Tamandua tetradactyla: one gene and its partners. The protein of the gene in region 1 purifies or fractionates together with the protein of each later gene. This does not show direct contact. Links are inferred from orthologs where the notes say so. Each region holds a gene or a part of one and is shown on either strand. Other genes may lie near its edges. The genes, in order: SETDB1, CHAF1A, SUV39H1 and ATF7IP.

What was found.
Region 2: the proteins of SETDB1 (region 1) and CHAF1A purify together in Homo sapiens (affinity purification with western blotting; 3 studies listed by BioGRID and IntAct, with this or other methods). This does not show direct contact. The link is inferred for Tamandua tetradactyla from reciprocal best matches to the Homo sapiens genes SETDB1 and CHAF1A.
Region 3: the proteins of SETDB1 (region 1) and SUV39H1 purify together in Homo sapiens (affinity purification with mass spectrometry; 3 studies listed by BioGRID and IntAct, counting the BioPlex papers as one, with this or other methods). This does not show direct contact. The link is inferred for Tamandua tetradactyla from reciprocal best matches to the Homo sapiens genes SETDB1 and SUV39H1.
Region 4: the proteins of SETDB1 (region 1) and ATF7IP purify together in Homo sapiens (affinity purification with mass spectrometry; 6 studies listed by BioGRID and IntAct, counting the BioPlex papers as one, with this or other methods). This does not show direct contact. The link is inferred for Tamandua tetradactyla from reciprocal best matches to the Homo sapiens genes SETDB1 and ATF7IP.

The regions. Positions count from the first base shown.
Region 1 is NC_135330.1:4,640,173-4,647,325, forward strand, and holds the start of SETDB1 (histone-lysine N-methyltransferase SETDB1), read right to left. Parts: upstream 3,019-7,153; 5' UTR 2,887-3,018; intron 2,881-2,886; exon of another isoform or gene 2,809-2,880; intron 1,476-2,808; 5' UTR 1,465-1,475; coding exon 1,205-1,464; intron 700-1,204; coding exon 548-699; intron 1-547. UniProt on the Homo sapiens protein: Histone methyltransferase that specifically trimethylates 'Lys-9' of histone H3. H3 'Lys-9' trimethylation represents a specific tag for epigenetic transcriptional repression by recruiting HP1 (CBX1, CBX3 and/or CBX5) proteins to methylated histones.
Region 2 is NC_135337.1:77,704,507-77,711,519, forward strand, and holds the start of CHAF1A (chromatin assembly factor 1 subunit A), read right to left. Parts: upstream 3,016-7,013; 5' UTR 2,946-3,015; coding exon 2,894-2,945; intron 2,845-2,893; exon of another isoform or gene 1,095-2,844; intron 920-1,094; exon of another isoform or gene 783-919; intron 430-782; coding exon 379-429; intron 1-378. Other genes in the region: SH3GL1 (endophilin-A2), read left to right, coding at 5,712-5,756. UniProt on the Homo sapiens protein: Acts as a component of the histone chaperone complex chromatin assembly factor 1 (CAF-1), which assembles histone octamers onto DNA during replication and repair.
Region 3 is NC_135353.1:121,569,995-121,576,857, reverse strand, and holds the start of SUV39H1 (histone-lysine N-methyltransferase SUV39H1), read left to right. Parts: upstream 1-3,856; 5' UTR 3,857-4,074; coding exon 4,075-4,093; intron 4,094-6,223; coding exon 6,224-6,369; intron 6,370-6,863. UniProt on the Homo sapiens protein: Histone methyltransferase that specifically trimethylates 'Lys-9' of histone H3 using monomethylated H3 'Lys-9' as substrate. Also weakly methylates histone H1 (in vitro).
Region 4 is NC_135333.1:76,972,646-76,980,560, forward strand, and holds the start of ATF7IP (activating transcription factor 7-interacting protein 1), read left to right. Parts: upstream 1-4,905; 5' UTR 4,906-4,924; coding exon 4,925-5,100; intron 5,101-7,915. UniProt on the Homo sapiens protein: Recruiter that couples transcriptional factors to general transcription apparatus and thereby modulates transcription regulation and chromatin formation. Can both act as an activator or a repressor depending on the context.

The DNA of each region.
Region 1 (7,153 bases):
CATTATGTTACATGACAGAAGCCAGACACAGAAGACAACAGACTGAATGATTCTGTTTTTAAAAAACTTCTAGAAAAGGAAAAACTAGAGCAACAGAAGGCAGATCAGTGGTACCTGGGGGTGAAAATGGGGATTGATGGGAAACAGGCACAAGGGAACTTTTAGGGGTAATCCAAGTATTCTAAAACTGGATTGTGGGGAAAGTTGCAAAATTGTGTAAATTTACTAAAATTCAAACCATACACTTAAAATGAGTGGATTTTATGGTATGTAAATTATACACACATAGGCACTAATGCCACCTACAAAGAAAAGCAAGGGAATTCAGAATAGAGATTATCCAGGATAGGGAAAGGAGGACAATGCAATTAGACATTGTATTTATTATGCTAACAATATTCTATTCTTTTCCTCTAGCAGGCAAGTCAGGTAGTTTGGAATATGAAGTTAGTGATAACAGTTTCTCCTCTTCTGTTTTCATCTGCTCCTCTTTCAGAGTTTCAACTTCAATCTTTGAAACTTCCCTATCCAAAGCCTTATCTCTTACCTGAATCAATACTGAGGACATCATCATCTTCATCAGGAATCTCAATTATTTCTGTAGGCCGGGAAGCTTCATCCTCAGAGCTACTTTCCCGATACTGCAGTCCCAGCTTGGAATAGAAGTCCTTCACCAAAGACTCACAATTAGTCACTGCCCTAATATTGGAATATATGTAGAAAAGCAGAGAAGGTAGGTGTAAGAGTCGTTAGGATTTATATATATTTAAATATAGACTGCCCTTAACTTACAGACCATATTCCAAAGTGTCTGTTTAGAATTTGGAATGCTTACCATAGAAAAACATTTTAAATGGTGGTATGGTTTCCAAACTAGTTCCTTGAAAATCTGGAAAATAAGTTCAAAGTCTTTTCAACCTTACTTCATAATTTACTTTGTGATTATTTGAAAATATGTTCTCAGTGACAAAGAGGGCACCAGAAACTAATCTTTTTGGGGTTTAGAAGCTGATAGAAGTTTTAGGAACTCATTAATGCTCCATAACCACATAAGTCAGAAACTCATGACAATCCTCACTCCTTAGGTGATCTTACTAGGGAAAAAAGTAGTAAAGCATAATGTGTTTGGCACTGTGTCATGAACAATTATACTTTAAAAAACGCCAACGGAGAGAGTTCCTTCTCGTTTTCATGCAGTCCTCACCTGGACGCATCATCAAAGAGCTGATCAACATGGGCCACTTCAGATTCCTTCTGTATTACCCATGTCTCCAACTCTGCTAGCTGCTTCTTGCGTTGCTGTACACAGTCCATCTTTTCCAATTCTTCATCAATGAACTGCCGAAGTTCCTCCATAGAAATGCCCAGCTCCTCCACTACTGCCTGTTGCAGCTCTGCAATCTCTTCAGACTCCACTGCAGCTGTTGCTGCATTCAAACCAATGCACCCAGGGAGGGAGGACATCCTGTTGTCCTCTGCATGGAACAGAAAACTAAAATTACCTTTAGGGTCATTATCACCACAATTAATAAAGAATTTCAGTTCCCTAATAGGGAACTTATTCCTACTAATAGACTTATTCCTACTGTGCTGTTATCAAAAAAAAAAAAACAAAAAAAAAACAGTTAAATTTGATTCTATATTCTCTCTTCCAATTCTCCAGAACCTGTTGCTGAGATTTTGTAGAGTTCTCAGCTCACACTACAGACTAAGAGGATTGATTTAAAATTTTGGGAGGGCATGGAGAACATGATCCCATAGGCTATCTAGTTATCTTACCTTAAAACTCACAACATATAAATGTTTATTTTAGCTGTCAAGTTCTGTACCTGCATCTCATATCAGTATATTACCAAATGTCAGGAACTGCTTATATTTACATTGTCCTTTCTTTTTTTTTTTTTATGCAGCATCTAACATGTAACATGTAACATTTAAGCCAGCGAGAGAGCTTTTGAAATGAGCCTTTAAAATTAAGTTGGAGGCATTCCACGTGGGGAAAATCCATGAAAGCGTTTCAACAACTTCGGATGTTTGGGGGTAAACCATAGGTGGTGGTGAGATACGAAGCTGAAAAGCTAACTTGGGGGCCGTATTGCAGAATGACGTGAGAGTCCCACTGAATAAGTTTTATTTAATTCATTTTGTAATACGGAGCTACTGAAATGTTTTAGGAAACTGAAGAGAATCAATCTACAGGTCAATCTTTTTGACCTAATATGTTCTTTATTTGACTAATGAAACAGAACTATGTCTACATATTATGCCAAATTTGAACAAATACCCTCAATCGGGGAAAGATTATCTGTAGCTTACTTTACACTTGATTCCCCTACTTTGCTTCCATGAGAAAATGTACATCTACATTTGATTGTTGTTTGTAATGCCCCTTAAAAGGCTACAATGCGTAAGCACAGGCAAGCGTGTAGCAAAAAGAGGTTTCTTCGAAGGAAAGAGAAATAAATTAGTCTGGGAATAAAATATGGCTACCAAATAAAATTCACAGTCAAAATAACCCTCGTTAGTATGAAATTCTTTTTCGATCAAAAGTTTAAAGCAGGACTGATACCGAATTCTGGGTTTAAAGAAAGATTGATGCTGAATTCTATGCCAGTTCTCTGTCCTCCATCTTTCCTTTCCTCACACTCGCCCCTCCCCCGTGCTACCCATTTTAGGGGTACGTTCCACCCACCCGCAATCCAGGCTGAGTCCCGCCCACGCTCGCTTCGTGGGGAAACTTCCTTTTCACCCCCACCCGACCTCCTCCCGCAAACAAAAATCCCACCCGGGCCTTTAGGCTCCGAATACCTCAATTAACAGTAGACCCCAAACCTCCCCGCATCCCGCTCCAAAAGCTCTGCTTTACCAACCAGATCCTAGACTTACGACTTAGGGATCGGCCTCCACGGGAAAAGGAAACAACGAAACCGAAGGGAAAAGGGAGCAGGGGGAGGGATGGAAACGCGAAAGAGGGAAGGGGAAGCTGCAGACACGCCCGGAAGTAAACCTTAAACACTGTTCCGGTCACGGCGACGGTAGCCTGACGGGGTCAAACCCAAAGCCGCGCGGAGTCCCCAGAGAGTCTAGGCCAACTAAGGCAACCACGCATGCGTGAAGCCGAGTCGGCTACCGCACACGTGAAAAGCGTTTGCTCGCGGGTCCGGTACTTTGAAGAATCCTGCGGTGCTTCTCTGCTGGTAGCGACAGAGCTACATTTATCGTGTAAAGACTCACTCGGCAAACACTTAGATTTAGAGTTCTTTTCTCACTTTTATTTGAATTTGTATTATTACTTAAGTCGTAGGAATTTAGCAAGTCGAAAGGTAACAAGATGTAGTTAGAAAAATGTAATCTCCTCCCCTTTCCGCCGTCACTTCCCCTACTCCTTTGAGGCGCTTACATACACATTCATGTATGGAAATTGTTTTGTTTTCACTTAACATGGGTATATCCCTTGACGTTAATAAAGGTAAAATACCCTTTTGACAGCTATATAGTAGTTCGTAGTATAGTTAAACCATATTTAGAAATTTAGTTTGCAGTTTTCAGCCACTACAAACAATGCAACAATGCAAAACATTAACATTATTTTGAAGTAGTACTTTTTTGTTGAAAAGATTCCCCAAAATGGAATCTCGAGCAAAAGATAGGTACATTTTTCATTTTAGTAGAAATTACTTTGCAAAAAGGTAACAGTTCACACTCTGATTAGCAAAGATCTTCTCTTGAAACATTAATACTTGTTTGTCCTAGTTTGGAAATGTTTACTATAGCTTTCTCCTCCTCTACATTATTTTTATTTTTCTTTTAGCTCTTTTTTTCTCGTCAGGAAAACTTCCAGAGCTTCCTAAACGGCATGTCTTGTAGATTAATTCTACATGTAGCTCTAAAATGTGGTTCTGATCATGTCACTCACTTCCTTTTAAAGGTTCTGTTTTAAAACATGAGCATGCTGATGTTCATATCAGCACTATTCACAATTTTCAGAAGATGGAACCAATCCAGGTGCCTGTCAACAGACGAATGGATAAACAAAATGTGGTATATACATGTGATGGAATATTATGCAGCAGTAAGATGAAATGATGTCCCAAAGCATATGACAATGTGGAGGAACGTTGAAGACATAATGCTGAGTGAAATAAGTCCGACACAAAAGGACAGATACTGTATGATTCCATTTTTACGACTGTGATCAAGTTAAAGCCACCAGTGTTTTGGAGCAGTAGAAGGAAAAATTTGAGATGAGGGCATGGTAGTCCGTGACAAACTGTGGGACCTGTTCTGTAGCTGCTTGTTATGAAGTGTGCTTTGAAAATTGTTTTTTTTCTTCCTTTTCTGTATGTTATATTTTACAACTAAAAATGGTTTAAAAAAAACTATAGGCAATTATAGTAATACTAGATAAAATAAACACCTGAAATAAAAATTTGAAAATATTTAGGAACATAGATCACTACTATAGCAAAGGTGATATTTGTGATAACTTTTTACTTGATATTTTGAGAGTGCATACAGAATGCCTAATCAAATGGTATTTAAGATAATGTCTAATGTTTACAGTTCAAGTAACTCTGATATCTGTATTTATAGATTTTCTTCCTTCCTTGCTTTAATTTTAAATTGGTTTATGAAACATATTGTACAAACAGGCTTTATGATGATTCCTTAGGTTTTTTTTAAATATGCCTGTAGATAAGCTAACTAGGATATCCATTTTAGGTGGTTAAGATTCCCATATGTCAATGGTAAAAATATTTGTATATTTATATTTTCCTGAAATGAGGAAAATATTTAGTAATATAGATCATTACTATAGCAATGCAGATATTTGTAAGAACTTTCTACTAGATATTTTGAGAACATTCACAGTTTTGACAGCTGATCAAATGATATCTTAGTTTTTAATACTTAGAGTTTAAGAACTTTGCTATCTGAATATGTAGATTTTTTTTCTTGTTGCCTTAATTTTAAACTGATTTATGAAACTTGTGCAAACACAGGCTTTACAATAATTATATGGACACTTTATTTATGCCTATGGTTAAGCTAACTTAGATATTCATTTTTGTTGGTTTTAAGTATATTATTTGTTTCCTTAAATAAAAAAAAACTAAACAAAAAGGAGTAACTGTCCTAGACCACTATCATGGTCAGGTTCATGTGTCAGCTTGGCTAGGTGGTGGTACCTGTTTCTCTGGTTGGGCAAGTGCTGGCCTGTCTGTTGCTATGAGGACATTTCATACAATTAAATCATGATCATGTTGGCTGCACCCACAGCTGATTGCATTTGTAATCAGCCAAGGGGCGTGTCTTCTGCAATGAGTGATGCTTAATCTAATCACTGGAAGCCTTTTAAGGAGGATTCAGAAGAGACAGCTATCTTCCTGCTTCAGCCCACGAGCCTCTCTTGTGGAGTTTGTCCAGACCCTCCATCGGAGTGGTCAGCTGCACAGCCTGCCCTGTGGATTTTGGAGTCATCCATTCCTGTGGTTGTCCAGCTAGCCTCTCCTAAGAGTTCATGAGGAACTTCATCGGAGCTGCCAGCTTGCAGCCAGCCATACAGACCTTGGACTCTACGTTCCCACGGTTATGTGAGACACTTTTATAAATTTTATATCTGCACATATTTCCATGCTTCACCCCTGCAGGATTAATTCCTGCCTCTGTGTTTCCATTGCCTTAGTTCATTCCGCTAGTGAGTTGACTTGCGTATGTTTGTTTCCTCTGGCTTGTGATCAACTCAAGAGTCTGTCTTAATGACCTTTGTTTCTCCTAGCACCTACACAGGGGGCCCCTTAATGTATGCTGAATGAAGGGAAATCTTTGCTATGCCCTGGTTAAGTATATTTCCGTTAGATTCTTGCAGCTTTCCAGTGTCTTTGTGGGGGAGGTGGGTCTGGTGAGGAAAAACAGGAGCTGCTTGGAGCATCATATTCCAGTTTGATTTCTTCATTGCCCAGAAAGCTAAAGTGGTCAGTCCTGTAGAAATCAGCAGAGAGATGCAGGAAGTGTGCTCTAAGGCCTTGCTTACTCAACATGCAAGGCCTTAGAGCATGAGTTGTGCAACTAGGTGAATGAACCATGAGAACAGAATGTTGAGTGAAATAAGCCAGTAATGAAAAGACAGATAGTATAATGCATCACTTATATGGACTAACTACAATGTGCATACTCTGAAAATTGAATTTGAGAGCAGAGATGGTCAGGAAAGTCTCATTGTAAAGGTTCATGCTCTAAGGCCTTGCATACTCAACATACTAAATATGTTCAAAATTCGAAATCTCCAGTCCTGCTCAAGATGTGCCAAATCCAAATTTGCATTTTAATAAGCCTACAGGCTGATTTGTTTGTACATTAAAACTTCTCTGAGGCAAACTCTGGATTTCATCTCTCAGCTTCTCTTGGCTTTCTCCAGGTTCTGGCTATTTCTGTGAGTTCTTGCTCAGCACCCAGAGTATTTCTGTTTTCATCTCCAAATGTCTATGTCTGCTGTCTGTGTTGGCTCCTTAAGGACTCCAGTAAATTAACTAACACCCACCTTGAATGGCCGGGGTCACATCTCCATGGAAATAATATAATCAAAATGTCCCATCCAAACAATGGGTCTGCATCCCCAAGATTGGATTAGGATTAAGAGAACATGGCTTTTCTGGGGTACATAACAGTTTCAAACCAGCACACAAATGCTTGTGAGGAAGCAGGGTTTCCCCAAGTGGAGAAGTTTTAATATTTCCACATTTTTCCCTAGTTCCTCAATGGGATTTTTAAATCTTCTGTACCAGGTTACTCTGGATGTATCAGATTATCACACTAACCTGTACAAACCAACAAAGTCTCACTCCCTTTTCAAGGTTCCATGTAATTATTGTGTTCGAATAAACTGCCCATACAAATTAAATTAGATAGTGTGCCATAGAAAATATAAATTTTGCACCAAATAAATATCTCTTCCTTTGGTCTCACACAGAAATTGAAGTTTTAAAATACAGTCAATATCATCCTTTAACCTTTCATCTGATTGACCTTAGTCCTAACCAGATCAGCTTTGTTCATGTCTTTAATTGAAGGCTGACTTCTTTTTCAGCTTTTTTTTTTTTTTTAGCAGTTGCAGTATGGGGTAATGCTGACTTTCATAGCTGCAGAACTGTAG
Region 2 (7,013 bases), on another chromosome or scaffold:
GTTGTCCTGACTTGTGGTGGTGGTTGACTACTGGAATCTGGAAAGCAGGGGCCAGGGATGCTGCTAAGCACATATTAATACATGGGGTGGGCCTCCACGAGGAAGAATTAACTGGTTTGAAATGTCAATAGCTCGAGGTGTAGAAAGCGTGGTGTAGAAGCAGGGGCCTCTGAATTTGCTCTGAGTACACAAGGGTATATTTGCGTGACAAAATGAATATCCCAACTTTCTCTTGAGACCAACTGGTTTTCTCCCTTCCAGTCCCTTCTCTGAGGATCACGACAGAGAGCCTTCACTCAACAGGAATTAAAAAACATGATTTAGGAGATGATGAGAGATATAAATGAGGAACGGCTATTCAAACCATTCCAAAGTTACCTTGTATTAACTTCTTGACTGGAAAAGCTGGTCTGTCTTTGCAATCCATGGCTGCAAATAAAGGGTCAAAGGACAATTTATTAAGTGTTGGGACTAATGAAATCATCAAACATACATGCCAAACCTATTTATGTACAAAGTGGTTCTCCTGTGGGGGCATATGGACACTAGAAACAGTGCTGGCTGCCATCACTGGGGCCGGGGTGGGGGTGGGGCAGTGTGCTGCCGCACCAAGCAGGTAGAGGCTAGGGATGCTGCTATACACCCTACAACACACAAGATGGCCCCCACCACAAAGAGTGATCTGGCCCCGAAAGTTAACGCCAAGGCTGAGAAACCCTGCCCTGGATACAATCTCATCACTCATCGTTCTGAAACTTTTGTATTGATGTCTCCCCCAACAGAAGCTGCTCTATGGCAGTGAAGAGACTTATCCCAGACTGAATGAATCTACAGCACTGAGCTCAGAGACCGGCTTATACTGAGAAATGAACAAATACAATCAGAAGGACAGTGAAAAGTGGAATGGGTAACAGCAAAGGTGGAAGAAAACATTTTATTAGCCATTTCACCATCATATGACGGTGAAACACCCTCCTCCCACACATACCCTGCCCATCTGTAAAATTCAAATAAGGGTCACTTTCCTCCCCCACCTTCTTTTTTAAAAGAGTTTATGAAGTTAATACAATTTAACAATTTAAAGCATACTGAACCTGTCAGGCAGGAGCTGAAGTGCTGTCACAATATGATAGAGAATGTTTTCTGCACCAAAAAAAATCTCAAGGAAAGCATCTAATAATATCAGAGGAGATGCAAAAACAACTATAAATAGGACTAATCTTAGGGTAAATAGCTTAAAATCAGTTTAGAAGTTCGCACCTGCTAGGAGACCTGGCTAGGAAAAATCCAGTTTAGATTTTTCAGTAAAACTACACATTTTACATAAGAAACTCAAAAGTGAGTATTTTTTAAAGGCAGAATGGGCCTATCTAAAAATTCTAGCTTTCCCAAATGAAAGTGTCTCCTCTACTCCCCACCCCCACAAAGTTTAGAGAAGAAAAGGTATCCAAAAGATTCATATTTCCTTTCTACCAATTTCCAGGAAGAAAGACAATACTATCAAGTTTACAATGACCAAGATCATGGACTTCTCTCTCAAATAAAGGATAATCTTTAACCACTTAAATTATATCAATTTGCATGGCACTGAGTCATTAGCTTTAATGCAAATGGAACAGAAGTGACATGGCCCAGAAGCAACCTCGGTTCCATAGAAAAAGGGACCCCACCATCGGGAAATCCAGGCTGCTCAATAAACATGGTATATAAAGTTGCCAGCTGCTCTTTATTCTGAGATTACATCCCTCCCTTTTATAATAGCATGGGCAGAGCAGGTGTTGCTTTTTATTTTTCCTTTAAGTGTCCTACTTGGTCAAATCAAAATATCACAGCTCCGTGACAGTCAGTCCTCAACTTATTTATATTAATTTCAAATCTCTGCAACATGCTGAAGTCTGGAAGCAACTACAGCAGTGGTTCTTGGGAAAGTGGGCATGCAATTCTGCCCTGAACCCCACCCCCCTCAAGGAGACATTTGGCAGTGTCTGAAGACATATTTAGTTATTACAACTTGGGGGTGCTACTGGCATCCAGTGGCTGGAGGCCAGAGTTTCTGTGAAACATTGTATACTGCACAGTATGGCTCTGCACACCGCCACCCCCGCCGAGGACGATCTGGTCCCAAATATCAACAGTGCTGTGGTGGGTAACCTGAGATTAGACTAGTTGATGTCCCTTCCAGGCTTTAATTCATTCAACCAACACATATTTATCTGGCACTTACTACGTGCCAGTCAGTCCCAAGTGCGTGATATAATAGGGAATCAAGCTGAGGAGAGAGCAGTCTTCTTTTCTATGGTTCGCCCCAATTATTGGAGGACCTGCTAAGTACCAGAAAGACCCGCTTGGATGATACAGGGAGAAAGACTTGCATATCAGTCAAGCTCATGAACCGGGGAGTTCCAGCCCCCTGACATTCCCCCCATCAGGCCTCTTCCCTGGGCCTGCCCTGACCCACAGGATCAGCTGTTCCGGTTCCTGCAGCCCGTGTGACCTCGGGCCTCAGTTTCCCCGCCCAGCCATCCAGCAGCTGCAAGGTCCAACTCGTTCAGGGGCCACAAGCTCACTAGGTACCCGGCAGAGCCTGCACTTCCGCCTCCCTGGGCTTCAGTTTCCAGCCCCCCTTGGACCCTACAGACCCGTCGCCCCGACGGGCCCTGTAAGGACCTAGTGACGCGAAACCGCCGGAAGAAAATGGTCGCGGCCTCAACAATAACGTCAAGAAAGGCGCCCTCGGGGTCACAAGGCCGTTCGTCGGGATGATACCGGCCCCCGCGAGATGAGTGCCGGGCGCAGACCAGCAGGCCCGGGGCCCGGAGGCCAGTCCGCAACCAACCGCCTCACAGGCCGCGCACCGCGCCCCCCCTTCCCCTTGGCTCGGGCCAGAACCGACCTGGGGCCGTTCCCCTGGCGCCCGGCGCCCCGCACTCCAGCTCCTCCAGCATCACCCCGGCGGCGGATCGAGCTCCCCTCAGGCGGCGGAGGCGGCGGAGGCGGCGGAGGCGGCGGAGGCGCGGGCTCCCCTCAGGCGGCCGCTACTGCTCGCCCTCCCGCCCGCGCCGCTGCTGCCCGGGCCGCCGCGCTCGTATTTGGCGGGAACCGCGGCGACCCCTGCAGCCCGCACGCGGATTGGGCAAAATCGCGTCACGTGAAGGCCCGCCTCTGGAAGAGGGGAACGCTAGGAGTACCCTCGCGAGAGCCGTTGCCTCCATTCCTCCCATTGCTCCCCTATTAATATTCCCGTGACTGGGGGGGTGGGGGTGGGCGGGACCTCCCCTCGGCGTCCTGTCATTGGTTGGGTGGAAGTGCCCTGCGATTGGAGAGAGCAGGTTTCAAGCTTAGAGGCAGGCGCTGTGATTGGTTGGACGCGTGGGCCAGGGAGCGAAAGCCAAGCTCTTACGTCATGACAGCCCTTTTACGTAAGACAGTGGGTGACAACCTGAAAACGCTTGGCGATTTAGATGAAAAGATTTAAACTGCAGTATTTAGTTTACCCCAATTAGACGTCAACTAAATATAGCAACAGCAGTTGATAGATAAATTACTTTTAATAAGAGCAATGAAATAAAAGCTTGGCAGCGCTTCAGAAGCATTTGCTTTGCAGTAAATACATTTGAGTGAATGAATGAAATGGATGTTTCTGGTAAATCCTCAGCTTTTTTGCACATGCAGTTTGCTCTACCTAAACCACTCTTTTCGCAGCTCTTTCGCCTGGCTAATTGCTACTCAGTCTTCAGATCTTAAGCTCTGAAGATCTTAGAGAAGCTTTCCTCTCTGACACCCAATGAGATTAGGTCACTGTTCCTTTACTTGAAGCAATTACAGCTTGTAAATATCTGTTTGTCAGCATATTATTTGATTGATGAATTTATTTGTTTTTATCATTAGCTCCATAAGGGCAGAATTCGTATTGTTTTTATCACTGTAACCCCAGGACCCATCGTTGCTTGATGGATAGTAGATGCTCAATAAATATTAGAATGAATAAATGTCACTTGATTGAACTGTGCAGATCATGGAGAGTAAAAGCTTCACACAAAACAGAGACCCTCAATGTCAGCCTGCAAGTCTTAGAAACAAGCTTTCCCCAACACCAATTTAATCTCCCAAACAGAGCAGGAACGGAGGTGAGGAAAGGAAGTTGAAATTTAGCCCAAGTTTGGAACTCTATCGAGGTTGATTTGATAGCTAAAGTATTAGAGTTGGTTGAAAAAAGAGGCTGGAGGAACAGGGAATTGGAGTATATCAGTTCAGACAAGTCACTTCACTCAAGCCTTGGTTTCCCCATCAAACAATGAGGATGTTTTTCCTCCCTCTGGTTTCTCCATCACAATAATGAGAACGTCTTCCCTTCCTTCTCAGGCATTCTCACTTTGCAATTCTGCAGTGAGTTAGACATTTGAGTGTACACATCAGAATCACATGGGGAGCTTCTTCATAGCAGCCCACCTACTACAGCAGGATCCTGGAAAGTAAAGCTGAGACATGGGCATTTGGAAAAAAAAAAAATCCCTTGGGGATTTCTGAAGCAATCCTCTGGTTATCTTCTGTTAAGACACTTGGAAACTTCCAGCAATCTTTTGCCTTCAGAAAACCACCCAAGAACATCAGAGACTTCAGCAAAGAAGTCCCAAGCATGTTAGCTCTAATCACTTTCTTTTTTATCTTTCAGTCTTGTTTACTCATTCTGATTAATTAATAAATTTATATCAATAAGAATTAATTTTAAAATTGATAAAAATAATATCAAACATTTATCAGCTTGGGAAGCTTTCCTGGAGGACGTGACATTTCAAGCAGCATCCTCTTTCCACATATAGGATGGGGGAGAGAATGTGCAAAAAAGAGAACAACTTCAGCAAAGGCACACAGGCAACAGGTATCATGGATTATGAGGTCAGAACAGTTGTGTGGTTCTGATTATGCAGACTTTATAGGCTATATTAGGAAGTTTGGAGTGTTTCTTGTAAGCAGTGGGTTCCGTTTAAACAGGGGACCACTGTGATCTGAATTATGTCATAGGGGCTTCTTTCCGGCTGCCTTGTAAAGGATGAATTGGAGGGGTGAAGCTGATGCTGGGGAAGCTAACGGAATGGCCTGGATCAGGCAGGACAAGGAGGATAGAGGATAATAGAAAGAATGGAAGAAGACAAGGGAGGCTGAGGGGAGAGAAACTGGGTATAGCAGAGATCAGGAGACATATATCTGAGATTGTAATCCCCAGCCTACTGGGTCTCCATCTACTCTTTTGCCGTCCCAGCCGCTCCGGAGAGGTTTCATTAGGCGCCTTACCTCAGAACTCAGGGCAACCTCCGAGAATCCAGGGGTCGCTGCAGCCACCTCGACCCCTCCAGGCTGGGCGACAGTCCAACTCGCTGGCGGAGGCGTACTCTCCCGCGGCCGGCGAAGTGCGCGTGCGCCCCATGGCCGGCAGGGGGCGCGCGTACGCAGGCGGGGGCCGAGGGGGACGCGCGCACGCGCCCGTCCGTCACCGGAAGTGTGCGGTTGCCATGTAATATCCTGGCAGCGCAGGCGCGCGAGGGGCAGAGGCGGTGCCGCGGCGGACGCGGAGCTGGCGTGAGGGCGGCTGAGGCGGCGCCTACGGGGGCCGCTACGGCGCGCGGGAGGTCGGCGGCGCCGGGGAACCTGTGACTTCTGCGGTTCCTTCGTTTTGTGCGGCCCGGCCGGGAGGCCGGACGGCGGGAGGCAGCATGTCGGTGGCGGGGCTGAAGAAACAGTTCTACAAGGCGAGCCAGGTGAGCGGAGGCCGAGGCAAGGGGTTTACCGTCGGTCACGGGTTACCTGGAGGTCGGGGGGTCCGGTCCTGGCTCGAGAGGAGTGGGGCCGGGCCCAGGGGAGGGGGGCCGCTCTAGCACATGTCCTTACACACACACCCCACCCCCAGAGTGGAGAGACCTCAAGAGTCAAGAGGGACGGGGACCCGGAGGTGGCCCGGACTCTGCCCACCCTCTGGGCCCCGGTCTTCTCTGAAAGGATGGGCCGAGCCCCTGGTAGGTACACGGGTGCGCCCTGAGGTTGTCCAGAAGCCTAGAACCCTCTTCTCCTTTCCTCCCCTCTAAAGGTGAAGGGGGGCAGAAAGGGGAAGAATGAGTCCCGAGGCAGTCGACGCCGGAACCTACACTTGCCAGGTAGCCAAGAGGCAAGGAAGATCGGCGTCTAGAGCTGATTCTTTAAAATAACTTTTTGGAAGACAGGGTACCCCATTCGAAGAGTGGGGTGAAAAGTCAGTTCCCCATACCCATCCCTTAGACATCCATTCCCTCCATCCGGCCAGATACTGTCACCCACTTATATCCCTTTCCAAAGATATGTGTGCATTTTTCCTTTTAACACGCACACACATAGAGGTAGTGTATTCTACTACATACTCCTCTGTACTTTGGGTTTTTCGGTCAACGTGTCTTGGAATCACACCAGAGTGGAGGTTTTTTCCCCTCAGCTTTGGCACCCATCATTAACATTTGGGGCTGGCTTGATCATTCTCTGGGATGTGCACTGGAGGGGCTTGAGCAGCCTTCTTGGCCTCCCCCCACTAGATGCAAGCAGCACCCCGTCCCCAGTCGTGACAATCAAAAATGTCTCCAGACATCACCAAGTGTCTTCTGGGGAAGGGAACAGAATTGTCCCTTCCTCCCTTTCCCCAGAGCACTGCACTGGAGCCCACTCCCAGCTCCTCCTGGATCCTTTTCTTGGGTCCATGGTATTCTCTTCCATGAAGTATGCCATCATTTATTTAACCAGTTGTCTCTAATGGAGATTTAGATTACTTCCCATAATTTGCTACTAGAAACAGTAGCAGTGAATGATATCTTTGCTCACAGATAGGGGAAATTTCCGGAAGTGGAATGCTGAGTCCAAAAATATATGCATTTTACATGTGACCGTTAACGGGACTTTCGGGAAGTCCCAGCACCTTTATTCACAAATCTGGTGAGAGCTATGGATTCACTCTGTAGAATACTGGGCAGAGGCAAAATTTTGCTTATAACAAC
Region 3 (6,863 bases), on another chromosome or scaffold:
TATATCTTTTCTCATTAAATTTTTATGAATTAGCAATGTGTAGATGTTTTATTAATGTAGCTCTCATCTTATACAGAACTACTTGGTCATAGAATAAACTATGGAGTTGCAAAGCCCAGAGATTTCTTTTGTTAAACATTCATAACTTTACCTTATTTTTTCATATTTTATGTAAGTAACTATAGTTTTTATAAAGGTTCAGGTAGTACAGAAAGAGTGAAAATCTTTAATAAAATATTTGTTCCTATTTTTGTGGAAAAAAAAAATTCATCACCCGAAACCTTCCTCTCTCCCTTTGTAATCTTTTCCTTTTACTCCTCCTCAAACCCCAACCCCAGCCGTTCACTGCTTTCTGTCACTGTAGATTGTTTTGCATTTATTACAGTTTTATTTAAATGGAATCACAGGAAAATGTACTTTTCTTTTATCTAGTGATATTGAGAGTCATTCATGCTGCAGTGTGTATCAGTAGTTCATCCCCGCCCCCTTTTTTTTTCCTGTGATTTATCGGGGCATCACTCTGGACAAATCGACAAAATCTCATGTCCTATTCAAGGTTCCATGTATTTATGGTGTTCAATTAAACTGTCTGACCATTTTTTAAATAGTTTTATTCACACATTATACAATCCAGCCTAAGTGAATAGACATGCCTTCACCACCATAATCTATTTTCTTTTCTTCCACAAAGAATCCATACCCCTTTCACAATCCCCCCACCTATTGATATTTAGTTTCGGTATAATGCCTTTGTTACATTCAGTGGAAGCACGTTACAATGTTTCTGTTGACCACAGACCCTAGCTTACATTGATTGTACTTTTTCCCATATACCATTTATTTTCAACACCTTGCAATACTGACATTCCTTTGTTCTTCCTCCTGCAAAAACATTTTGAAATTTGTACATTTAATCACCATCATTGTCCACTCTAGGCATTTCTAAATTATCCCATCTCAGTCTTCATTCTCTATCCTACCTTCTGATTTCATACTTGTCCCAGCCCTTCTCCCTCAACCATACTCACATTCAGCTTCATTCAGTGTACTTACATTATTATCCTACAGTCAGGTCGTGTTGTGCTATCCATATCTGAGTTTTTGCAATCAGTCTTGTTGCACAATCTGAATTCCTTCAGCACCAATTTCCCAATCTCTCCCCTATTTCTATCTCCTGATAACCTGTGTTCTTATCTTCCATTCTCCAAGTTCACTCACTAATGTTAGTTTACTGATAAGTGAGACCACACAAAATTTGTCCTTTAGTTTCTAGCTAATTTCACTCAGCATAATGTCCTCAAGGTCCATCCACATTGTAATAGGCTTCATGACTTTATTTTGTCTTACAGCTGTGTAATATTTCATTGTATGTATGTAACACAGTTTGTTTAGCCACTTGTCTGTTGATGGACATTTGGGCTGTTTCCATCTTTTGGCACTTCTAAATAATGCTGCTATAAACATTGGTATGCAAATGTCTGTTTGTGTCCTTGCTTCAGTTTCTCTGAATATATACCTAGTAATGGGATTGCTGGATCATATGGCAATTCTATGGTTAGCTTCCTGAGGAACTACCAAACTGCCTTCCAGAGTGGCTGTACCATGTTACATTCCAACCCACAGTGGATAAATGTGCCGCTTTCTCCACATCCTCACCAGCACTTGTCGTTTTGTTGTTGTTTTGATAATGGCCATTCTAGTGCTTCCTACTGTTTTAAGTTGCTTATTTTTTTAATTTGGGACTTGCCAGTTGGGACGCAACCCTTTTACTGTCTTCCAGAGCTGAGATAAAGATGGGTCTGCCTGTTTTTTTCGTTGTTTAACACTTCTTTGGGGGAGGTGGTGGTGGAGCAGTGAGCATCTCACTCCACCATCTTGGTGATTTTACATGACCTCTTACTTTCGAGGTGCCTTGAAAAGGTGATAGACCAATAAGATTCATTTTCTACATAAAAGGGAGATGCGCACCCCAAGAGCACTCACCTGAGGTTTCACAAGTGAGGAAACTGAAGGCCAGAAGGGTTAGTTTGCCTAACGTCACACATTTTGGTACGTTGTAGAGTTGGGATGTGAAAGCAGGCAGTGGCTTTAGAATCCATGCTTTTATCAAGTACGTTATACTGTTTGGGAAAGGTCAAGAGATGCTCCCCACCACTAACAGGGCCCCAGTTGCCCTCCAGATGAGGAAGGAAAAGGTCATTCTTTAAACTACTCTCCTGGGACAAGTCTCCAGGATTTCTGGATATGAGAGGGTCTTGCCTGAATAAGGAGGCACCAGAACCTGAGTTTGTTCTAGAAGGAGTAAGGAAGGGAAGGGAGGTGTATAGTGGAATTTACTCTTTTGAGTGCTCCATTCATGCCAAGTATGGGCTGATGGAACTTCTGACTGACCAGCCATTGCTCTAACTAGCTCATAGCTGGACTGGCAAGCAAACAGAATAACCGTTTGGTTAACTGTAAAACTGGTTGACAGTATTATTCATGAACCGACAAGGAGAGGAGCAATTTGAGGAACTGATGATGTGGTTTCCTGATGTTGGGAGGTACTGAACATCTGACTGAATTTCAACCCCCACTGGGACTGGCAGGTAGTCTCACAATGTGGAAGACAGGCAGCCTCCTAAAGGAATTATTGACTTGCTGATGATTTATGGTGTTGCTGCCTAACTGGGTGGCAGGATGTTGTGAATGACAGACTATTACCAGGAATCATGCCAGGCCTAAGGGATGGATGTTACACTGTTTGAGAATGTGTAAAGGAGAGCTACCTTAAGGGGATTTCAGGCTGGCTGATCAACAGATTTGTGGCTGCCTGATAGGCAACTGTGAATGGTGAATGACTGGCCACCCTGACTGGCCACCATGCTTGAGGGCCTGGCTGAGTGCTCTGACTGCCCAACTGACAGACAGTAGTAATTAATGTAGTCAATTGGATGCTGAGGATGATTCCCTGATAATATGATGAGGGGTAGACTGAAGGAATCACAGGGTAGTTGATCAACTGAAAGATCAGTGTACCTGCCTGAGTCAATGGCTGTACATGGCTACAGACTGCCCTGATGGAATCACAGCTTTCCTGAAGGAGCCCAGTGGAACAAAGGAAGCTGACTGATCAATGGTGTGCTTGAGAAACTACTGAGTTATTGAAAGTGGCATTGTGACTTTACTGTACCTTTACTTGCTCTGACAATTTGCTCTGTGGGCCTAGCTGGGTATTGTACCTGAATAAACTGCTCAGGGTGTGAATGAAGAGCAACCTGAAGCGATTACAGAGTGACCAACTGACAGTATGGCTGCCTTGACAAGGTTATATTAGATGCTGACAATGACAGCCTGTCCTGACCTAATCACAACCTGCCTGGGGGCATATTTGGACGCTGTGGCTTACTGGGGTGTGTACAATATGATTCCGTGAGGTGGAATCACAGCTGGTCCCAGGGCAAGGATAGAAGTGACCAGCTGATTGAGTGACTGACAGAAGGGGCAGTCTGAGGGTGTGACAGGCTGGTTGGCTAGCAGGGTAGCTGGTAATAAGTGCTGTCTGTCAGCCTTAAGAGAATCACAGCTGGTGTGAAGACACAGATGGACGCTGAATGGGGTGGGGATTTTGACTAGACAGCTGTCGTGACATTCTCTGATTTGAATGAAGTGACTGCCTTGGTATCTGTACGTGGTTAGAGTCCACTCTGGTGGACTCACCGCCTGCTTGGGCCTAAATGTGACGACTGACTGACGAGTTTGATAGGACGGCAAATCCCCCTTTGTGGCAGGCTGACGACATAATTGGTCAACTGCAAGACAGACGTAGTGGCATACGGGGAGTGCCTCCGGCAACCTCAGTCGCCGCCGCCGCCGCTTCGGTGCAGACGCACTCTGGGAAACAGCGGGCGGCGAGACCGCCTTCGGGACCCGGCAGAGTGGCGGGGAGGGGTCCGGTCACGACTCGCCGGTTGGTCGGAGCCGCGCCGCTCGTGGCGCGCCCGGGCCAATAGGCTGCGCGTTGTCGGCCACGCCCGCGCGAGCGCTCTTCTCGCGAGGCCGGCTAGGCCCGAATGTCGTTAGCCGTGGGGAAAGATGGCGGAAAATTTAAAAGGTGAAGCGGTGGCGGCAGCGGAGCGGGCCCGCTGGCCGGGCTGGGGTGAACTGGAAGGGTGGCGACGCGGGCCGGGGCCCCGGAGTCCGAGACCGCGGAGTCGGGAGCCTGGAGCCTAGCGCGGAAAGGATGGGGCTCGGGGAGCGCGGGCCTGGTGCGCGGGGCTGGGCGGGGCTGAGTAAAGGGGGCGCGTGCCTCGGAAGCCGCGGGCGCGGGGCTCAGTGGGGTCGCGGGACGGGGTAGGGCTGTGCGCGCACGCCCCACATCGAGATCTGACCCGGCGCGCCTACGCGCCGGAGATTGTTTGGGGAGGCCGCGCCCGCGCGCGGGAAAATCGGCCGCCGGTGACCGTTACCCGCTTGGTGTCCACGCGAGACGCTGGAAAGGAAGGGGGAGGAAAGGGGATCTTCCTAGAGTTGGGGGACAGGGGACTCAACAGGGTAGGGTGTCTCCTCTCGATGCGAGGGGGAAGGCTTTGGAGGAGAGAGAACACCCGCTGAATGAAGAGAAGGGGGCTTCTCTAATAGAGTTGGACTCCACACTGTGCAGGGAAAGAGGGGTGACGTTCTTGGTATTTTGTTAGGGTGGAGGGATAGCTCCTCTGTGTGAGGAAAGCTGCGGAGAGGATGTGTGAGGGGGACTCTAGGCGGGTAGGAGAGTCCAGCTGTGGTCTCTCTGTGGTGTATGCTGGAGCCAGCACCTGGACATCTTAGTTGGGACCACTTTAGGTAAGGTTTCAAATGTAGGTTTGGGGGTTTGGAAGGAAGAGGAAAATGTGGGCATAGGCCCAGAATCTGGGATGGAGATATGAAATTGAAGTGTCTAGGCCTGCCTAAGTGGAGGGGGTGAAGTGCACACGAAATAATTTTCTAACTTCGAAAAGCTCTTGTACATTTTTAGGTTGATATCTTGAGTGTTTAATCCCAAGTTTAAATAAGTTTGATTTTTGTAATGGGAAGTAAAAAATATTAAGCATTAAAAAGATGAACTAGGCTAAGGATGGACTATACTTGCAACAAGTGTTTTGTGAAACGATTTGTTAAAATGGCTTCTAAGCACATTATTTAAGACCTAGTCCTAAGTCAGATAGAAATCTTTTGCTTTTTAAAAATCTATGTCGCATGAAAATTTTTGGTAGTCTCAGGAATCATTCCAGGTATGCTTTTAAAAATGGTTGTCACTAACCTGTACTGCTTTGCCTGTTCGTGATTTCAGACATTCCCCTTTGGGTGAGCTTTACCCTTCACAAAAGTGTGGATGAGACAGAGAAAGTCAAAAGCAGTGTGAAAAAAAAAAGCAGCATGTGTTTAAGGCATCCATACTTAAAGCTTCAGGGAAGCTTCCTGTAATTGAATACCATTCCACAATCTCTTGTTCGTAATTCTGAAATCTGAAAAAGTCCTGAAAACTGAAATATTTTTCTTATGTTTGGCACCACTCAGTGGCAAAACCAGACTATAAGGTGGGACTATTCAGTGCTGCTATTCTACACCTCTTTTTCTCTTATTTAATGTGAAAATTTATAATTTTGCTGTAGAAATATTAATGTGTTTGATTATGGTATAATCAAGGGGTGTTAGGTGATATATGGTATATACTTAGAACTACAATTGTAAAATCCCCTCAAAATTTGAATTCCAAAACATATTGGGCCTCAGGAGTTTCAGATAAAGGTTGTGGACCCGTCTTTCCAGTTATGCTTTGTTTGGTACCTTAGAGGTTTTAATCCCACCTTCCCTGTACTGATAAGGGGGTGGAGGGGGTTGTTCTCTCTTTTGTAAAGGAGGTAGAAGGGTGATCTGATCTGAACCCAAGGCAGGTTTGCAGGCAGTTTTAAGAAATAGTACAGAGGAAATTTGAAGCTCTGGGAATGTTTACTGTTAGGACAATTCATGCAGCAAACCCCACTTTGAGGACTGCTGCTCCAGGGGTAGCCTTGGGCAGTGACCCTTGGGGTTTAAGGAAGTAGTACATTTTGGTTGTGGAAGGCATTGGGGAAGGCCTGTGGATTGAATATGACTGACTATGAGGCAGTACCTGAGAAGTCCCAGGCAGGATTTGGTAGTCCCTTTTGACCCCTAGTCTGGCCAGGCTACCCAGTAATAGTTCTTTCCTGTCCCCTTGTTCCAGGCTGCAGTGTGTGTTGCAAGTCCTCTTGGAATCAGTTACAGGACCTATGCCGCCTGGCTAAGCTCTCCTGCCCTGCCCTTGGCATCTCTAAGAGGAACCTCTATGACTTTGAAGTCGAGTACCTGTGTGATTACAAGAAGATCCGCGTGAGTCTGCGGGTGACCATAGCCCTGGGGTGGAGGGTGTCTCAAGGTGGCTTTCTGCCCTCTTGCCTAATAATGCCTGCATCTGTTTCCAAAGGGAATTTTCTTTCCTGATCTTAAAAAACAGGGTGACTAGGCCCTCTTATTGTCCCCATTTTATAGATGGGGAAACTTAAGTGATTTTCTTAGGGGGTAGGGGATAGGGCCAGAATGAATTCACCCAAATAAGCCTCTCTTCCCATTTCCCTCGGAAGACAAACCAATTGCAAAGATTGAGAATACTTCTTATATGCAGAACTCAGGAATGGAGATGAAGATAGCTAATAGTTACTGAGCACTTTCAGTGTGCCAGGCACTTCCTCTCAGAAACTCATTTAATCCCTCGGGTAACACTGTGAAAAGGAAACTGTTATTGTTGCCAAAGGAGGTAACAGTAGAATAGAACAGACTGGAGCCAGCATGCTTGGGTTCAAATCCTGGCTTTTTGACTCCCAGTT
Region 4 (7,915 bases), on another chromosome or scaffold:
CACAACATACATTAACTCACAATTTCAGATGGTCAGGAATATGTATCCCTTGCTGAGTTTCTCACAAGACTGCAATCAAGGGGTCAACCAGAATGCACTTTCCTTTCAAGTATTTATGGAAGAATCTACTTTTAAGCTCATTTAGTTTCTTGGCAGAATTTCCTCATGGCTCTATGACTGAGAGACATGGCCTTTTTGCAGGCTGTTGGCTGGAGGTCACCCTTTGGTCTGAGTGACTACATGCACCTTCTGAAGTCCTCCTGTAGTTACTTGTTATGTGGGCTTCCGCAACATGGCTGCTTTGCTCATCAAGTTAGCATGGAGAATTTCTTTCCTCAGGGAGGGTCCAGTCCCTTTTTTATAAACAGCGCTCACCAGATTAAGTAAGGTTCATATAGGATAATCTCTCTTTTGATTAACTCAAAATCAATTGATGTGGGATCTTAATTACATCTGCAAATATTTTGCCATATTCTATTTGCAAGGAGTGTGTTACAATTTCTCTCTACACTCATGGGAAGATGATTATATAGGATATTAACTCCAGGGAGAAGGTATCATGGAATCCATCTTAGAATTCTGACTACCAGACTTCCTGTTTTCAAGAGTTGTTTCTTGAATTTTCCCAGGTTTGCCTACTCACTTCCTCAATAAACTTTTCTGCAAATTGGAGGCCAGTAATACAATTATTAGGTTGTGGTTGAATCATCTTTTTCCTAATGGGAGTGTGGGGAGTGTAGATATAAACTACTCAAGTTGAGTTTCCTCTGTATTACTAGTACTCCTATAAATACCACTACTATAAATACTGTAAGCTAACACATATTCAGCTCTTATTATATATCCAGCATTGTTTGAAATGCTTTACTGCAATGTAACCTTCATAAAAACCTTATCAGGTAAGGCTATTTTTTATTATTTCCATTTCATACATGTTGGAAAGAAAACTGTACCAGAAAGAGAATAAATGTTCATCTGATTGTGGAGAAGAAAATAATTTATTAAAGATCTTGCCAGAAGGGGTACACAACCGCAATGTGGTGGCTGGTGTGCCAAACAACAGGAGGCAGAAACATTTATTACCTAAGCCTAACACGGGAATCACCCTCCTCTGTTTTCTCATTGTCTGGGTACTCCAAAGGTTACAACCTACCTGAGAGGTCTAACTCACATTTTTTTCCCATATAAGGAAATGGTGCCAATCATTAAGCATACATAAGAGGCTCCTTCCCCCTTCCCAACTGTGGAACTGGTCTGGGCTGGTTTTTCAGCCTTTTGTTTAGTAAATTTTGTTTTCCCCCATTCCATGCCATTTTGTGTGAAAACTAAATTTAATTTTATTCTTACATACATAGGGATGCATTGCATAGAGATATATAAACAACAAGTAAGATGCAAATACAGGATTTGAATTCATATAGTTAGTTTCAGAGCATATTTTCTTAATCACTACTTTATGCTATGTTTTATAAGTATTTAGAAATTTCAGTTTTCTCCTTTGGCTATTCTTTTTTGTTTTCCTTCTTCAATTGCTGCAATTGAAGTTCATTTATTTTATTTTTGGTTTTCTTTTACTGTTTTTTTCTTTTCTCTTGTGAGATTATCTGATCTGCTTTACTATAGCAATATTATTTAAGAAGAATGTTAGTATGAACCAATAAGGCTATACATGGATAAAATGTGGAAATACTTTGGTCTGATTAGTAAATAGGTGCCAGAGTTAGTTTGCAGCTGTATGTACCCCCCCCAAAATTAATCTATCCCTGTGGGTGTGAATGCATTGTAAGTAGGATCTTTTGTTGACGTGACTTCAGCTGAGGTGTGACCTACCTCAATCAGGGTGGGTCTTAATCCTGTTACTGGAGTCCTTTATAAGTGGAATGAAACTCTGACAGAGGGAGAAAGCCATGGAAGCAAGAAAAGAAATCAACAAAACCCAGAAGAGAGGAGAGAGATGAATTGACAATGCTTTGTACCTTACCATGTGGCAGAGGAGCCAAGAATCGGCAGCAGCAGGTCTTTGGGACAAATGCATCACCCTGATGCTGCCTTTATTTGGACATTTTCTTAGCATCAAAACTGTAAGAGAATAAATTTCTTTTATGTAAGCCAAACCATTTCATGGTATTTGCTGGAGCAGCCTAAGAAACTAAAACATTGTCCTAACTCTGAATGCCCCTCAGTTCCTAGCTCATGACTCCTTTATTTCCACATAATTCAGCAATTAAAGGATTAATATTTGATAAAATAAGGGGTCTTCATGCCTGCTTTCATTCTGATTGATAAGTGCCTAGTGCCATAGGGACTAATAAACATTTTGAATACTATTTCTCCTAGAAGTTGAATCCAACCCCTATTTATTCTTTGTGTTTTCTGTTTTATCTAACCTGAATTCTCTTTCTTTTGTAGCTAGTTTGACAGTCAGACTTTAAATTCTGCATGATTAGTCAGATCAAGTTACATCTCTGTGAAGTTTTTCCACATAATAAGGAAGATTTGGGTGCTCTTCTTTTATATTTCTTTTATACTTGGTATATATCTTCCTAGTAGTAAAGTTCTCATATTTATCTCTATATATGATTCTTACACTTATAGACCAATGGCAGAGGCAGTGTTATTTCCTTTGGGCATCTCCAGTGTGTGTAACAGTATCTGAATGCAGTATAAATAGTATGCGTGTTGAATGAATCAGTTAGATTAGTTAGATAAAATAAACAGGCAAAGTGGCCAAAGAGACTGTTTGTAAAAATGTGTGATTAGGGATATCTGGCAAGATTCAAATAAAATAAAACTAGGTATTGGGAGACAAACATAGAATGTGACGTTATCTAAGACAACTGATCAGTGAATTAATGCTAAACTATTTACTCTTTTCCATTAGCACAATTCAGAGATTCCGTTTATTTGCTTATTAAAGAAATATAAAGAGAAACCTAATGGGTTTGATTATTCCAATCCCATCTCTATTGTTATAGAATGGAACTCTTTTTTTTTTTTTTGCATGGGCAGTCACTGAGAATTGAACCTGGGTCTCTGGCATGGCAGGCCAGAACTCTGCCTGCTGAGCCATCATGGCCTGCCCTATAGAATGGAACTTTTAATATTTATACTAATATTTTAATTTACTGAGCATATATTTTATAATTTGAGCATCTATGTACTAAATAAATTATGCCAAAATTTTATTATAATTGAATACCTATTTATCACTTGAGCACTCTTAAATACTATGTTCTGTGCTGAATATTTACAAAGTTTAGTAATTAATGAATGCAAATCTAATCATGTCATTTCCTGACAAACTCTTTTAAGAGATTCCTTATTGGCTTCAGGATAAGGTACAGGTTTTGATAAAGAAATTTATTAAATCACCTCTGATGTGAGATTCTCTCACATAAGGAGGAAGAAGGAAGGCTGTTATGATTCCTGAAGTCTGGATTAGGTAATCCTTTTAAAAGCTATTCTGTGTTTCAAACCAGTTGAAAGTCTCAAGTTATAAAAATATTAAACACCCTGTGCTAATCTTGTATTACTTAGAACATTTTTCTTTTTAGTTTTCCATCTCTTCCACTAGAGTATAAAATTCTTGAGAAAAGGAACAGTGTCATACTCACTGTTTAATTCCAGCATCTAACATATTTCTGGAGAAGAGTGGGGTGGAGAAGAGTGGGGTGATTGCTAAATAAACAGTGAATAGATAGATTAAGGGAGAAATTCCTTAAAAAAAAAACCACCACCAAATCTTAGGAACTGATAAGGCTCCTCCTCCTTTGCAAAACACATTTATACTACTTATCTCATCAGTTGACCCTCTCAACCAACTTGAACCACAGGCAATATTTCCACTTTACAGATGAGAAAACTGAGTAAAACACTTATTCCAGCCAACAGGTAAGTAAGAAGTAGAAACATGATGTGAGCCCAGATCTCCCAATTAGTAGGGTAGTGCCCTCTCTACACCTTGTGGTCTTCAAGTGAATGTTCATTACCAAGGTAAAATTGAATGCGATGGACACAAATTTTGGTGGAAGGATATGATCGGAAATGCTCGCTGTGTCACAGAAAACTGAAAGAAAAGATATCTTGTCTCCATTTCCTCATTACTAATACAGTTCAAAGTATGTTTTGTGAATTAAAAACAGAAAAGAACTAAATATATTCAGCTTCCTTTTTTGAAAATGTTTTCTTAGTTCTTCAACTCTCACATATCCACTTCCTTTTTTCTTTCCTATGCCTCATAGAGGGCGCTCACAAAGTGCTTTACTCACTGATTGTACAAAGGTCCACTCAGAAATACACCTCACGCTGCAACTAAAAGTCGCAGCGCCACCACCTCATACTTCCTTCTGGTTTCCACGGTAGGAGGCGGGGCCAAATTTCCTCATTCAAATAAAAACCCAGGATATTTGCATGGGGAACGGCCAGTCCGTAAGCCTATTGGTTGATAGCCTAATGGGCGTGGTCAACACACGCGCACGGAGACCCGCCTACATTAATTTGCATAACGGCCCCGGCGCGTGCAAGAGAGAAGCGGGTTTGTTTTTGAATCTGCGGAGGCGGCGGCAGCAGCGGCGGCCCGGCGGCTGAGGCGCGCGAGACTGAGGCGGCAACGTTCGGGACGGCGGCGCGGGACGGCTCTGTCAGAAGGAATTTGGTTCCCCCTCCCTCAACTCCCGCCCCAAAAGGTATATGTGAATCCCAGGGGCTCTTATGACCACATTTTCTTGAATTTCTATTGTATTTCTGAAGAGTAAAGACCGCATTATGGCGGCTGCTGGAGTTGTGTTTGCGCCTGCGCGGTTGCGGAGTTGCGGACGGGCGCTGCATGGGAGCACGTGATCTTGCGGGGGTAGGGCTCTAGCTGCAGTTGTGCAGCTTGGCGGGGCGGTGGCTGCGCAAGCGCAATATTCATTTTCAAGATCTAATGTTCTTATTGGGCGCCATTTGGGTTCTAGATTTATTTTTCCATATTTTTCAGGGGTTTCATTCTGTTGCCTCCAAATTTCCATATTTTTCATGGAAGACCTTTATTTTATATCTTATTTCTTTACCGACTTCAAGCTCTCCTCAATTTCTCCGATTCTCTGAGAAGCTGTGGAGGTGATTTTCTGTAAAACTGTGTGACTTGTGGTTCTCGATTATAATTTCATTTTTTTTGGGTGTTGCTGAATTCATGTTTTATTAGGAAGTTAACGATCAGTTTCTTGCATCTAATAGTGTTTTCCTGGGAAGTGCATGTATTTGAATTGCATATTAGCAAATATTTAACCCTATTTTTACCAGTTCTATCATGGTTGTGTGGAATGTTTGCAGAATAGAAACAATTTGTGTTTTGAAACTAATAGGGGGAACCTGGGAAGCAGTGAAAGAACATACAATGTAGTTTTAAAAGAAACCTCGTTTTTTTTTTTAATCTTAACTAAGTTTTAATTTTTATAAGTTTATGTGTCTCTGAACCTACTTAAATGTGAATTTCACATTTTTTCAGTCTTCGATCACTTGTTTATTTCTGAAATACTTAATTTTGGTTAGCTTATTATTGTTATTCTTTTAAAAATCTTTCTTATTTTATTTGTCAGTATGAAAATTATACTTCACAGTGAAGTATAATACTTGGTCAATTGTTCTGATAAAGAGTTCCACAAAGTCCCAACTACACTGAAGTCTTTGTGAGGAAAACAAGTAACCACCAGTAAAACTTAGTTGATTGTTAATAACTCCCATGTTAATGTGTAGAAGATACAATTGTTTTAATTTTTTTAATAGTGTGCTTGATTTTAGTTTCTTGAAAAAGGTGGTTATAATTGCTCATGTATTATTTATTTAGTTCAAATAGTCTCATTTTAAGTCGTATATGACTCCTCTGAGTGAAGTTATTTGATATGATTTCCCATTATGCAAATTATTTCTTATGAGGCTAAAAACTTGTAAAACAATTTTCATAAACTTTGTCAGTGGTTTGTATATATAACAATTTGTTTAGCATTATATAGCCCTAAATTTAAATCATTCTGTCAGTGAAGAAGTGGCAGTGTTTTATAATCATGGTCAGTTTGGGAACGTTTTTATTGCCTTAAATCAACCTCCTTGGTAACTATTAACTAGATTTAATTGAAAAGGATAGTTTTGAATGGTGGATATTTAAATGATGTCACCAGAGATAGAGTGATAGGAAACATTTTTTTTTCTCATCAAAATCTTTAGTATGTTTCAAATTTAATTCCTTCAACTCTGAAGTCTTCTATGCAGAAATGTCTTTCGAGGGCAGTTGTGTAATCTTGTCCCTTTATTCTTCTGGGGTGGTTACCCAACACTCCCCTTCCCCCCACCCAAGAACGCGCGCACAGACACACACACACACACACACACACGAACAAATCCAGGATAAACACTTATTTCTGATAGTTTAATGTTGCAAATATGTCATTTGAAAAAACATCTGTGTGTGTATGGATATGTAGATACATATTTAGGTTAAAAGAACTTTGGTCTTAGGGCATAGTTCCCTTTGCATGTACAGAAAAATGAAATATTTTGGTTTATATATTTCAAATTTGGCTTTAGCTTGAGTATACATATGATTGTTTTTTAATTAATATTGAAAGTCATAAGAGACACTTGAAAACACTGAAGAGCATAATGTACAATGTAAAATCTATTGGGAGGACAATTTTGCTGTCATGTTTTTAAAAAAAGATATAATACAAAAAAAGTAAGGTTAATGAACTGTGTAACCATGCACTGTTCCTTAGTACCCTGTTAGTAACCATATTCTGAAATTTTAGTTTGGTGGTTATGATGCCACAAAATTTAGACACATGTGGAGCCTGTATAAATATTAGACCAAGTTACTGAATACTAAGTGACTGGGGTTGTTTAAAATCTTTCTAGTTTTGTGAATTTTAAACATAGCCATAAACCATTAAATTTTACTTTTTTCTTTAAATCATGATTTGAATATGTGACCTTTTTTTATTTATTATAGAATGTTTCTGAAATACATTGAGAAATAAGCACTCTAAATGTTTTAGTGATTTTTGCGAAATTGCTTTTCCAGGCTTGATAAATCTGTCAATTTTTATTGATCTATTATTTTTTCATTGGGATCACAATTTTATTACTGCTTTTTCAACTTAATATTATATTGTGAGTATTTCTTCATGTCATTGTTCTTCTAAAATGTTTTTATTGGCTACATAATGTTGTACTGTGAAAATATTTCCAAATTATGAAACATTCCTCAAACACATGATTTTGAGTTGCTGTGTAATATTGCTATATCAAGTAAGAACGTGCTGTGACTTGCTAGGCCTTGTGTTTTTTTTTTTGTTAAATTTTGTCTTGTCCATTTCTGTATTATAAGTAATGCTACAGTGAACATCCTTATATAGCTCAAACTATTACTTTGAAATTACCATTTCAAAGGCTTGTAAGATAATTTTCCAGATTGTTGCAAATTTAAATGTCTTTTGAAAAGTATTTCTCATACCACCATCAAATTTGGTGGATGAAAAATAGCTCAGCAGCTTTCCTTTGATAACTAGTAAAGTTGAATTTTTTAATGCCTTAACCATGCATTTTCTCATTTTGTGAATTAGCTCTTTTTTTTTACTTTTTCTATGGTGGGTGTTAATGTTTTCTTACTTGTTTATAAGAGCTATTTATGAATATTAGTTCTTTGCTTTTCATATTTGTTTTAGCATTTTTTTTTGCCGATCAAATACCTTTTAAGTTTTTTATGGTTTTACATATTCAAAAGTTTTATGTTTTTATGTAATCACACATACTGCGTTTTTTCCTTTGTGATTTCTTCCAGAGCTTCTCTGCCTAGAAAATATTACCTTTTGTGAGATCAACTAAATGTTCATCTATATGGCTTATTTTTTCCTAGAATTCTAAATTTTTTTTCCTCCCT